Linked DNA regions of Styela clava. The protein of the gene in region 1 purifies or fractionates together with the protein of each later gene. This does not show direct contact. Links are inferred from orthologs where the notes say so. Each region holds a gene or a part of one and is shown in the gene's direction. Other genes may lie near its edges.

What was found. Proteins that work in one complex are often made in the same cells at the same time.
Region 2: the proteins of tyrosine-protein kinase RYK-like (region 1) and adhesion G protein-coupled receptor A3-like purify together in Homo sapiens (affinity purification with mass spectrometry; 3 studies listed by BioGRID and IntAct, with this or other methods). This does not show direct contact. The link is inferred for Styela clava from reciprocal best matches to the Homo sapiens genes RYK and ADGRA3.

The regions. Positions count from the first base shown.
Region 1 is NC_135257.1:16,879,070-16,886,062, reverse strand, and holds the start of tyrosine-protein kinase RYK-like, read left to right. Parts: upstream 1-3,893; 5' UTR 3,894-4,776; coding exon 4,777-4,782; intron 4,783-5,733; coding exon 5,734-6,993. UniProt on the Homo sapiens protein: May be a coreceptor along with FZD8 of Wnt proteins, such as WNT1, WNT3, WNT3A and WNT5A. Involved in neuron differentiation, axon guidance, corpus callosum establishment and neurite outgrowth.
Region 2 is NC_135258.1:16,968,983-16,975,998, reverse strand, and holds the start of adhesion G protein-coupled receptor A3-like, read left to right. Parts: upstream 1-3,902; 5' UTR 3,903-4,872; coding exon 4,873-7,016. Other genes in the region: N-acetylglucosamine-1-phosphotransferase subunits alpha/beta-like, read right to left, coding at 11-139. UniProt on the Homo sapiens protein: Orphan receptor that may have a role in planar cell polarity pathway.

The DNA.
Region 1 (6,993 bases):
ACGATGTCATAAAAGTATGTTCCCACTTCGCGAAGTATTTCTAATCAATAGCCACGGAAACCCAACCCTAACGAAATTTTAGACCTCATTTGCTCAGTGCAATTAAATTATTTTTTATTCATAAATTTTATAATGAAACACTTTTTATGACATCGTATTTTTGAGCAGCAGGATTTCGCTAGCGTGACAGAGGTCCTCGTTCTTCCTAAATCCTAGTTCCATTGCTGGTGTGTTTCTAATTTTTTTTTATTTTGGTTGGTAGGCATGTTACCCACGTACTTGTACGTAGGGATGGGCAATGTAGAATAATTTATAGTTAAATAGATCCGAATCCTATTCTAATTTCATATTTATTCAATAGTGGGAGTTTTCCACATTGCTAGATTTAGATGTTAAAAAATTGTAAATGTATTACTATAATTGTATTATTTATTTGAAAATATCCTTAACTTATTTAATATTAAACCGGCATTTCCAAGGACAATAAAATCTAAGAATATTACAATATTTTTGCCTTCAATTGTTCCAAATGTATGTCATCTCTAAATGCTGATATGCTAAATTACGACGTGCGTTACACGGTTAAATACAAAAATAGATATGAAACGGCATTAAATCATTATTAATGTTGCCCAGTGTATTAATGTTGCCCAGTGTACTAAAGTGCCTAGTGCACTAAAACACATCCGCTGAGAATTAATTAAATGCAGGTCCATCGTATGGCCACTGCAACTTATGCGGCCGTTGTAAAATATTAAATTTACCCACTATCAGTTAAATCAACTTTTTATTCTGTGCGAGCAAGACTTGAAAAACAAAGTTCCCGTAAACACGATTTCATAATTAGTTATTAGGTAATAACATCTGAAGACGAATTTATTTTCTATTATTATCGCTAAATATCATTATCTACCAAGACTTGGCCGTACTCACACTCAATACGTAGGTAACTATCTTCGCCAGATGCGCCATCATTTTTTAAATTTATCCGCGACTAAAATACTACAGACACTCGATCAAACGTGCGTCTTTCTTTAACGATACAAACGGACCGAAAAATATGTAATCTTTTGAAAGTGAAATTTAAATGTAACAGATTGTCGTGTTTTGCCATATAACTTTGTATTTCGGAAAATGGTGTAAAAAAATTATTATTGTTGATAAATTAAATATTGTTGCAATTAGATTATCGGAATATCGCCAGTTAATCAGGACAAATAATTATTATACCCTAGCTAGATAACAAAGCAGGAAAAAGCAAAAATAGTGCAATAACGAGTCTTCGCCGTGAGGTGTACTTCGACGACTTCTTGTCCAGAATACGCCGATTGAGATTACAATTACAGTGTTGATGTCAATCAATCAATCAATCGTTTATTTTGTCATCACAAAAAAACACGTTCAAACATAAAGTGACACAATGAATAAATTACAGTACTAATCATGTTTTTGCGTGACCGGAGTCGCGAGGGACTCCGATTGTTAACTGTTAACTGACTGTTAACCGATTTTACGGGTTCTTTGTGAGCAGACGCAAGTTTAATTAAACGAGAGAGATTTCACGCGAGAAAAAGCGCCCATCTTTAATTGATAAATTAGAAACCCGAAATACAAAAATTGATGAATGGCGCCGGAGAGGCGGAAACCGAATCCTGTTATCAGATCCTGTTGGATTCGAATCCTCCGGATTAGGTATTCTATATTGCCCATCCCTACGTGTACGTTTTTTAACTTTACTTCAAGTTACGCTCGCCTTCCAGGTATCTCTGCATTTTGTTTTGTCTGTTTACTTTTTGTGTTCTTACATGTCAAATAAACGAAATAAAATGATTGATTGAAGGTTATTCCACAGAGTGTTTTCACTTTGTTAAATATGGGAATATGAATTGTTTGAACATATACGGATCTGGAATCTATCAATCACAATAACACTATAAGAGGCAATCAATCTCTAGAATGCTGGTATTGCAACTGTAAATACTGAAATACAGAAATACCACTGGAATGATAAGCAGTGGGGGCATGAGTGCCAAAAGTATCCGGAAGGAAGTCACTAGTCATTGGAGGCTGGGAATCACTGCTGTACTGCAATATATTTTTGTATTTTTTTCAGATTTTCATGAAAACATTATAGTATTACTTATATCAATAACAAGATATAAGATCTGGTTAGAAAGAAATGCTGTTATATTTCAAAAAAAGATACCTAACGTTCAAACAGTCATAAAACAGATACAAACTTCAATAACATGTCGGAGAAATATAGAAAAAGTTCGAAAATTACCAAATTTCATAAAGGAATTAGAATTTTTAACCAACTGTCTGTGATTATATTTTGAGTAAATGTATAGTTGCTAATATTGTTTTTTTTTTCTATTTTTATGTATAACAAATAATGCTTAACTAATGTATTATTAACTTGTAAACATCTTGATATCACTGAATTGATATTACAGTATTACGGATTATATATGGATTATTGAACATTGGAATACTGAAAAATGGAAACTACGTCGGATATTATGGATTACAGTTTGGAATAATAATGATTGTAAAATTTTTTTTTCCCATTATTTCTATGATTATTACTGTATCACATTTAACACATTTGTGAGCGTTTAAAAAAAATAAAAATAAAAAAAACTTACTAATTTATAGACAATCGCAAAACTCATTAGATTTATCTCTATTTTTATTTATTCATGTTATAAAAGTGTTCCACTGTCAGACTGTAAATCTGACAGGAGGATACAGGGTTACAAGCTGACAAATAATTATTATTTTCCAATTAAGTCATAGATAGTGAGGTTTTGGATGAAGTAGTCAGGTAGGGGTTAAGGATAACTGAATAACATATGCAAAAATGATCATTCCAAGCCCACTAGAAGTAGCCTACTTCCGTACTTGTGGTACCTACTATATTACACTAGCAGACTAGACCCAGTTTCCCTAACCATCAGTCCATAATAATTGTTTATGGTTTATAATCTGATTGTTGATTTTTATGAAGATCTTGTTATATGTTCAATAAGGTTCATGAACAATGAGCTAAAGCGCGCATTTTTAAATAAATTTGAAAAAAAATCTGCGGCTTCTCTCTCAACATTTGAGCACAAAAATGGGGTCTAGTATAGTTTAGTACCACAAGTACTTCCAGTGGGTGTAGCGTAACGAATTTTGCATATGGTATTCCTAACCCCCACCTGACTATGCCATCCAAAAATTACGTCACCATCACGTCATATGGCTTGCCAAAGTATAATTACAATCGCCCGAAATGGCGTCTGCACCGCCGATAACGAACTCGCTAACGCCGACGATCTCTCTCCTATGGTGATCGTTGTGACGAAAAAACGAGAGAAATAGCTTGCTCGATTTCGGGTGATTGTATGTGCGTATTGGACGACCATCCGCATACTTTGGTTGGTCTTATTACGCCACTGTGACGTCCAAATGACGTAATTTTTCGGTGACGTAGTCAGGTGGGGGTTAGGATTGACATATGCAAAAATTGTTGAGCCAGGCCAACTAGAAGTGCATGTGGTACTAAACTATACCAGACCCCAAAAATGAAGCTTACCAATACCTAATTACCATAACATTTAATGTGAATCTACAGTTGCAATACCAGAATTCTATAGTTCAGTAGATTGGGTTACACTTTTTTTTTGTGCTTAGCTCCTTGTTAAAATAGCCAAGTGTTGTTTGAAATGCAATAATGCAGTAATGTTCTAGTGTTCTGTTAAAATAGCTAAGTGTTGTTCGAAATGTAATAATGTTCTAGTGTTCTCTTATTTCAGTATTTGGTTGCTCTCAAATATCTAATGAATCTGTGAATGGATTACTTTTTTCACTATTTTATTTGTATTTCTATACCAGCTATGTAGACCGAGATATTTATCTTTCAATATTATATAAGTGCTTCTACACTGCAGAATGATTACTCTGAGAATTTCTAGAGACATAGCACAGAAAGCAAGTAAAAATGTACGAAGACATTTTGCTTCAATTTCTAAATTATATTCAACAAACACTGATGTACAAAATGATGGAATGACTGAACCTCAACACAGAAGTGAACATGTCAATAGGGTAATTTTTGCTGGAAAAGTTGAGAGAGGATATTGTACTAAAACCAAAGGTATCAAGATGTACATGGGAACGTATTTATATCTAACAGTACAAGTTAAAGCAAACAATAAGTCACATGAAGCTATGCAAATGCTTTCAACAATAAAGAAAGATATGAATATTCAAGTTATTGGAAAACTTCACCAAGTTAGATTAGCAAAATTAGTAGATGAAAACGAATCTCGAATTGTTAAAACTTATCTAGCGACATATATTTTAGCAGACACTGTCGAAATTTTCAGCAAAGATGAAGCTTCAGAAAAAATAAAACAAAAAATTAAATATTGGACAGAGCATGGATATGCTCCAGGAACAACAAAAATTATTGGAAATCTTTAACGCCTCAGTGCTTATATCTAAGAAAGAATGCATAATCTTCTTAATAAATTTGTCTTAAGAAACATTTTAAAATTAACTCATGAGATTACTGTGCGGGGTGGTTAAACTGTTAAATTTAATTATGGTGGCATATCAAGTGAAATTCGAGTTTAAATCCCATGTCTACCAGCTTACACAGTATTGATAATTAATTTTGAAAGATTGGGACAAACGAATTGTCCTATGTGTTCATACATCTGGTCTGCTTTGGAATGAATTGAACTGAATCATATTCCAGTAGGACGCTGCAGAAGTGTGTGTACCAATATGGAGGTAACTAATTTTGTTCGCTTATTTTACATCAGTTTGTGTAATGAGACTGAAGCCTGTGGGCAGGGGGTGTATTCAGTTGTCTAACACAGCCAGTCCCCGAACTCGTAATATAACATAAATAGGGAAAATCAGAATAAAATTATGGCCTAACCCTAACCTGGTACACACACTACGGGAGTACTCCCAATAGTCCATTGAACAATATGTTATTCTTTCTTTTTGGATGAGATTGCTCTTGATCAGTAAGTGACAAAACAAACATTTAATATAGAGTTCTATAAAGAGAGCAACTACACCTCAGTTGTTTTGAGCTTATCATTTGTACCAATCAGTTTAGTATCCTTTAGCTTATAAATAAAAATTTCTGTTAGAAAATATTATATGACAATAGAAATATTATCAATATTTTTTGTATAGAAATATTTTCAAATCTAGGATATCTGTTTTCTTCCTTCTGTATTGGAAAATAAGTTTTATGGGTTGAAAAAAAGTAAAAAATACCATATTATACAATATAGTATATATTATAAAATATGGTAATAACAAAACCTTTTTTGTTTAGAAAGAAAACAGATATTCTAGATTTTATCTTTATATACGTTACAATCAATCATTATTACCATGCTTCTAACATCAGTATCTCAAATAAATTACCGTACATCATTAATCTATTACATAACTTTTCTATCATCCTCTATGATAAGAATATCAGATGTTTAAATGTATATTATGATCCTTAATTTATCTGTATGCATGAATGTTTCGAATAGGATAGGGAACAATACATTGATTAAAATACTATCTTTTCCTATAACTGTCATTGCTTTGAGCAAAAGAATTTGAAATGATGTAATAACTTTGTGGTGTTATTTCTGATTTAAGGTTTGGTCTTCGCTTTCTTGTACATTTTTATTGCCTCTAAAATTGTAACTTTTTACTTTGCTTTTCCAGAACAAAATGGGCAGGTATCAGCCACCCGTTATTCTGCTGTATTACTTTTCAATATTTTGTTTGTTGGCCCAGGCGAATATTAATTTGTATCTCCCCGTAACGGAAGTTGAAGACTTATTTGGAGCTGATGGAATGGAGTTATATTATATCCGCAATGGGATTATCAACCAGAATGCCATATCTTTCATGGCTCATGTGCAAGAAGATAAAGATACTCTCAACTTTATGTGGAAGGCGACTGATCCTGACACAAGTGTTTTGTATGACTTGAAATTTTCGTCACCAATGCATTCTGATAAGGAAGAAAAGCAATTGAAAAGTCCAATGCATGCTCCAAATGCGACTATTAAAAACAATGGTAAACTTCCTAATTATGCTGCACCGTTTTCAGTTAACTTAAAATGTACTGGATTGGAGGATGGAGAAACTGTTGTTCTTATTTCATTAGTGTTTAGACTTTACGACAACCCAGCAGAAACAACCAAAGTAGAGCTGAAGCGTTTGAAAAAATGTTCAAAATTCAAACAAAATGTTCCAGTCGCTGAAAATATAAATCCAAGTAATGATAACTCAAATGCCCCAGAGAAAAGTAATGAAGACGGTGACACAAATAATGGAAATCAGCCAAAGTCATATGACCCCACCCACAGCAATTCTCAGAGTACAAAAGCTTTTTATATATCGATATCAGTTGTCACATTTATCATCATAATGGCAGTTATTATAGTAAGAATCTGGCATAGGCGACAGCGTAAAGCAGAGGCGGGGACATATTCAATGAACCATGTGTCAGCTAACATGCATCATAACAACCAATTCTTGAGGCCAGATCTACCAAATAATGAAACTGCACCACGACCAGCCCCGGGATCTAACGCAAGCTGGATGCATTTCACTCCAATTATCAATGACTTAGGAACTGATGTTGTCGACATAAGAGCCAAATTATCTGCTATTGCTGTTCCTAAGTCTGATGTTGTACTCGAAGAAATGCTCCAAGAGGGAACATTTTCACGTATATACAGGGGTTACTTGGAGAAGAACGTACCGGTGCTTATCAAGACTGTAACCAAAGCAGCATCTGAGGAACAAACCAGATTTCTTTTATTCGAAAGCTCACTTCTTAGGGGTATGCAGCACAATAATCTTCTCACAATTAAAAATGTTGTTCTTGATGGACCAGAGCCCCCTCTGGTCATATTCCCATACACTAAAGGTGGGAATCTCAAACGATATTTACGGGATATCAAGTTCAATGAT
Region 2 (7,016 bases), on another chromosome or scaffold:
GTCGACTTACCTCGCCGAATTGAAACATAGAATACAAAACAAGAACAATTCCAGCAAATGCAAAATAGATTCCATATTGATGAGAGAGGCATGTGTAAGTATGCCTTTGCAGAAGTTTAAAAAATATTTCCTTTCTCATTGTTAATGCTATAATGACGTTAACCTGGTAAATGTATATCACACATGACACATGAAAAACCTCATGACCCCCTAGTTGCAACCCCACACGATGCACGCCCTGTAAATACCGACAACTACCACATTAGAACTTACATCAAAAAGTTGCACCTAAAATGCCTATAAAAACGCACTCCATACACAACTTCCAAAAAACTCGTGATACCAACGTACTTTGTGATTGCCTTTGCGGTATTGGAAATTATGAGTATTATTGAATAATGAACCAAAATGTGGAAATGCTGTCCGTATCTACACAATTTGATCCATTTCTTGTCTTTGGATCCCCTTGTTCAAACGTTAGAACATTGTACCAATGAGCATGTATATATATGCTCATTGATCGTACTAAGCTTACAAAATCGACGGGATTTCGGGACTAAGTTTGAAATTTCGAAATATGGATTTTTGGGATTTTTATTTACCAACCCGTTTTTTTTTGTAATAGTAAATTTAAAAAGTGGTCACGTGAGCTGAAAATACGAAAAGTGCACACATTTATTAGTTGTTACATTGATGCGTAAACTCCAGACTATTTTAGTAGGCGCTATGATTTTATATGCAAGATCTCTAGGATTTTATTTCTAGGAGCTCTAAATACCTCGTATTAAGTAAAAAATGCTCCCTTCGTTCAAAGAACATACATCTATGTCTCAACGTAAGCCGTTCATCGGCTGGCATCGGCATCGGATCGTGTGGGTTGCCAAACTAATGAATGTATGATTTTCTTTAAAATTGTCGGGTTTTCGTATAAATAGTCCGTTTTATTTGCCGTTCATTTTACTTTTCACAATGTTCTCGACACTTTCGTTTCAAATAGTCTGAATATTCAGAATTCTTCATTGTCTCTGCTTTATATTGTTTTAATGAATAACAATTATTTTTGACAAGGTGTTGTGGTGTTGAAACAGAAAAAATTAATGAATGTGCTCGCAATCTCACGTAAGTAATACAAACAGCGACGAAGTTCACGTAAAAACGTAAATATAATACATTCCTAAATTTTAGAGGCAGAAGAAGAAAAGCGGCCTGAACATGCCGCCCAATCATCAGTATGTTGAGCACAATTAGTTGTTTCAGATGCATCATCTTGGGTGCAGGAGGGCGTCACAACGACCTGCGAACGATACCCTTTTCCTCTTATGAAACTTTTATTCTTTTGTACAGTATGAAAAAAAATATATCATTTGACCCGAAATATCCTTCAATCGTATATAGAATTATTATGTATGACTCCACAAATTTTAAACATTGAAGGGGTATTATCCTCTGTGCTTCTATCTCATACGTCGTACCATTGTAGATGGTTTTTATTTATTTAGGAAATCGGTCATATTTTGAGTATGCAATGCAAGCGATTACACATAGCTTACTTCTCGTGTAGCTGCAGATTGAACGATGCACTCCTAAAGGTGCGGTTGTTTGCGAAATTGAATAAAGCCTCACAATGCCTCTTATGCTGATCTAATGTGTACCTCAATAGTTGATTGTGAATGTTTAAATAAAGTATTTTTATTATTGGTGGAAATGGAGATGAGTTATACCACTGAGTTGCATTTAATTATTTTTCATGGTATGACAAATTTTCACCACATTATAATTTTTGTCCCTGCTCCGCCGTGTATGAATATTCTTATTACTCTCTTTTTTCGTATTTAGTTTTTTTAATGTTTTCATAGAGTAGGCTATTATTTATTATCGTCTAACTCTAAAATAGACAAAAATTTATTGTGTAACTGAGTATTCAACTAATTATGTCTCATTTTGAAAAACTTAACTTCTCACACACTCATACACTGGTATAACAATGAAGTTACTTGGGAATACAAAGGAATTTTGTTCCAAAAACTTGTAAAAACCTTTTATTGTGAAGTTCTCTAACTAGTCATTTTCAAGTGTGAATCTTAATCAAACCAGCGCGTATGGTGGGAGTTGACCTCGATGACCGTGCGGCCGTATTGTTCCCTCCGGTTCATACCAAACAATTTTATTGGACACGTCAGTGGGCATAACGATTGTTTTGCATTATTTTTGGATACCTAGTGGAAAACTTAAATTATAGCTTTTTCTTTGATTATTGGACCAATTTCTTCAAAATTTTCAGTGGTTAAAGATGAATTTTTCTTTCTAGAAGGGTGTTACTTTTATTTATTTCAAATATTCCTGGTAGCACTTTGGGATTCGTTATTTTGACACGTAATGGATTTGTTTTTACTCTTCTTTTTGTTTTCTTGATCACGTGCTCATCGAACGAAGGTGGTGTATAACGAAATTCTTACTCTGCTATGACGAGCAGCGTTGTAGGTACCGGATCTCTGTGGTACCGGTTGCGTCAAAGTGAGAACTGCTTCGCTCTGATGGATGTGTCCATATATTTGAGCATTGCTATCTTGTTTCTAATACTTTTCTATTGAATCGATGATTGCATTTCTTGTTAAAAAAATAATAATTCTCACTTGCTTCTTCTTTAACCTTGCGGTCTCGTCAGCTTCAATACAATTTAACCTCAACCAATCAGAATCCTCAACCCAATCCGAGAATCAAGAAATGGCAACGCCAAAGCATTTGCGTTATGATGATGATTCCCCGTGGTGTTGGGATCGGAATCTTACATACCGTGTTTCTCCGAAAATAGGACTGGGTCTTATTTCAATTTTCTTTCGAAAAATAAAACTAGGGCTTATTTTTGGGGGATGTTTTATATTTCCATTTATCAAAAACAAAATTACAACGTAGAAAATTGGGAGATTTTCAAATATACAAAATATGAAAATTGACATATCTATTTACTTATAAATAACACGTTTTTAGGATAGGATAGGATTTACATATTTATCCCGGGGGAGAGGAAAGCCGATAAGACGGCTTATCCATATGGCGAACCACGGCCTCTCGTCCGGTTACCATTCCAAGTCGGGTATGGGATTATTTATATATTGTTTGTTTTCGGAAGCATGAACTTGGTGGTGGAGGAAGCCGTAACCGACCAGCGGTTACGTGAACCACCCAATTATATTCGTTTTTATTCAAAATAACTGCAAAACACAGGTTATTAATCATTCAAAACGTGTAGGGGAGATTTCTTGCTATCGACTAGGTCAAAAATAAATTCGCGTTATATTAAAATAATTTTTAAAATTTATGCTAGGTCCTATTTTAAGGGTAGGTCCTATTTCCGGGGAAACACGGTACTTCATTTACAACTAATTTTTGTAATCACAGCTGAAATCTTACAAATATCACGAGAAAAAAACACGAAAACGAGGCATTGTTTACACTTTATAGCAATGCTTGAGAATCTAATCTATGTCTGGGTATGTTAGTCGTTGGTCTGGGTGAACGATGTGTCCCGCTTGGATGTGTCCGAGCGTCTGCAAAAATTGCCATTGTTACGTCATCGTGTACTTCATGCTGAATGGTCATTGGTATAGATATAAACAAAGAAATCGATGCTTGGAGAAACATTAATTGGTTAACCATAGAGCGAGAGAGATTTTATTCGCACAAACCAATATTAAAAATCAATAGTAATTTTTTTTTTTATAGAATTACAGTAAAATAAGCAACTTAAACATTGATTTGTGCATGTCAACACCGGTCCCGTACCATACCGTTTGCAAGGCCCTCGCAGGAAATCCAGTATCGAACTGTCGGAATGCGTTGTGACAATATAAATTCATCAAAATAAAAAAGGACAGAAAATGAGTCCGCAAATAATTTTGTTCTAGGGCTAGGCTACGATTCGACACTTGCCGGTACCGGAATCCGAAGCCAAACTATTTCGCTTCGACCAGAGTCAATTTCAAAAATATTTCAATTATTTAGTAGTGGTATATATTTACGATTTAGACTAGTATTATTTCATACATTGCCTTTAGTAGTTTTTACACTTGCCTCTTTTACGTACATAGGCTATATCTGGCCTAACTTTTCTGACAAAGTTTAGTTGATAAACCGCTTTAACTGATCGGGTCTCTCTTTTTGATACCGGTACTGTACCGCAGTGTCACTAATGTCTGAATGTTACTGTAATTCAGTAATGGTAAGAAATGGATTTAAAAAAAATAGGGAAACACAAGACTGTATTCTGTGATAAGTTGTTTGTTATAAATAGACTACCAGTACATGTACTGAATGGCGGAGAAGCATGCAACTAGCCAGCAGCCAACAAACAGATTTACGTGAACGTCTCCGATTAAGATTACTTCAATAGTGTAATATTTTACTATATTTCTAGAATTGGCTCGGCGGTGTGGCTATCGTGCTAAGCGTTAGAAATACGCTCCTCACCGCATCTCTAATTACCCTTCGTGGGTTCGCCGGTTCGAATCCCATGCAGGGATGATCATGTGCGAGAGCATTGCTGGACTCCTCGCCGCCGCAGGGTGGTTCACGTAACCACTGGTCGGTTACGGCTTCCTCCACCATTAAGTCCAAGTCAAGTCCATGCTTTCCAGAACAAATAACTGGCTATCTAATCCCATACCCGACCTGGACTGGTAACCGGGTGAGAGGCCGTGGTTCGCCATATGATTAAGCCGTCTTATCGCCTTTCCTCTCCCCCGGGATAAATATGTAAATCCTATCTTATCCTAGAATTAATGTTTAAATATAATTATGGTTGAAATGATAACGTGATAACTATAACACATTTGTGGCAGCCATTAAACTGCTCATGACTTCTTGATCATTAGTATGATGGAGTTCCCCGAGATATTACTGCCTGTGATCCTATTACTTGCATCTCTGTCAAATGGATGTGTTCTCAATTACCACACGTCATGCGGCTGCAGGAACAAGTCACGACAGTCCAAGATACAAGGCAAGAAAATGGACTGTCACAGAATCAATATTGCTGACATGTTTGCTAATGCGGAATTTCCAGACGACATTGTCTTACTTTCCATAGATCTTACTGATAATGATTTGAAAGAAATAAATAAAGATATTTTTGGAGAAAAACTTCACACACTTGAAATATTAAAACAAGTTATAAAGTTGGATATGTCAAACAATAAAATTTCAAGAATATCTCCAAAATCGTTTTCAATTTTTACAAATTTGACACGACTGAATTTGAGTTCAAACAGCATTGGACATTTATCCGCCGATATGTTTGAGGGTTTACCAAGTCTGGAAGTTCTGGACCTTTCCTTAAACATATTTCCCATAATTCCTGGAGATTCATTTTCGAATCTTCCAAAATTAAGAAAATTGTATGTGAAATCTACTGATTTTGTTTGCAACTGCCTTATGCATGATTTCAAAATCTGGATCGATACGAAAGACCCTCCAGTAAGAGTATATGGAACTTGTCACTTACCCCTAAGTTTGAGGGGACGTTCGCTTCGTAGCTTGACTACGGATGATTTTGTATGTGATGCAAATAATACATTATCAAGTTTGCCCTATTTTGAAATAACACCGGATTCCCATCAATTAGTTTTTGAAGGTGATGAATTCTTTATGCAATGTGAAGGTACAAATTTGCCAACGTCTGAAATAACTTGGAGTTTCAACAGAATATCTATTAATCTGAGTGACGAAAACCTGATTGTAAAAAATGCAGCCATCAGCAAGTATGAACCAATTATTATGGGATTCTTACAGATAAAAAATCTCTCTAAGAATCACAGTGGAAATTGGAGTTGTATGGTTTCATCAGAACATGGAAGTGAAAATAGAGTTATCAGAATTATAGTCATAAGTCATAATTCTAGTTACTGCCCTAGAAGGGAAGTTGAAAATAACAGAGGTGACTTTACGTGGAACTCAACGGTATCTGGCATAACAAAGTCCATCAAATGCCCATTATCACGAAGTATGCCTGGTGAAATGCATATTAACAAGGCATATCGAAGCTGTTCCAGTGGGAATTGGTCATTGGAGCATTATGACCACTGCCCTTACAAAAGCAAGGCAACTAGATTGATACACAATTCTTTAAAAGATATTACATCACGTAATGCAGAATCTTTAGTTCAGGAGTTGATAAGGAATCTTGGCTTGCTTCAAGTTCCCACACCCATCACAGAATCTCTCACTGTCCAGTTAATCAGTCAGCTAATGGAAAGATTGATGGATGTTATGGTTCATGGCAACAGGCATGATTTGGGCGATGAAATATTGGGATTAGCAAGCTATGCTATGAATGCCAATGCATCTCTTTTAAGAGAGGCACAAAAAGCTTCTGGAGCGTGCGATAAAATTTTGAAAGTTGTAAGAAGCTATGCACTGAAAGGAACATCTTCTGCAGAGTTCAGCGATGCTTCTGAAAATATCGCAGTGAGTGGATTTATGATGGAGAGTAAGTCACAATATAATAAAGAAGGTAATGGATTGACATGTAAGGTTTCAAGCGGTATTAAAAACTTCAAATTTGAATGTAAGACATCTCAATTTAAACGCCAAGAAATGCAATCTTCTGTGTCTTTGCCAAAATCCCTTCTTAATTCATGTGGAGAAAGTCCAACTGGCCAATATAAGCTTTACTTCATTGCCTATAGAAATGGGAGCCTATTTCAACAAAAATTTCTGGATAGTATAGACAGCTTATCGAACACAACCTTTGGAAATTCAAACTCAATAACACAGAATATTGTTCTGGAAACTGGAGTTAGTGGTTGCAATGTTTCTAATCTCTCTGACCCAATTAGTTTCAAATTTAAAACTACTCACACAGGATCTCATGGTCCCGCAGTTTGGTCTCGAGATCGTGGTTGGGTAAAAGACGAGAGTTGTATAGCTTCGCCACAACGTTTCAACAGGAACTACACCTATGTTAGATGCAAGAAATTGTCTGTTGTAACGATATTATATGATCCATCTTCTGTCGCTGA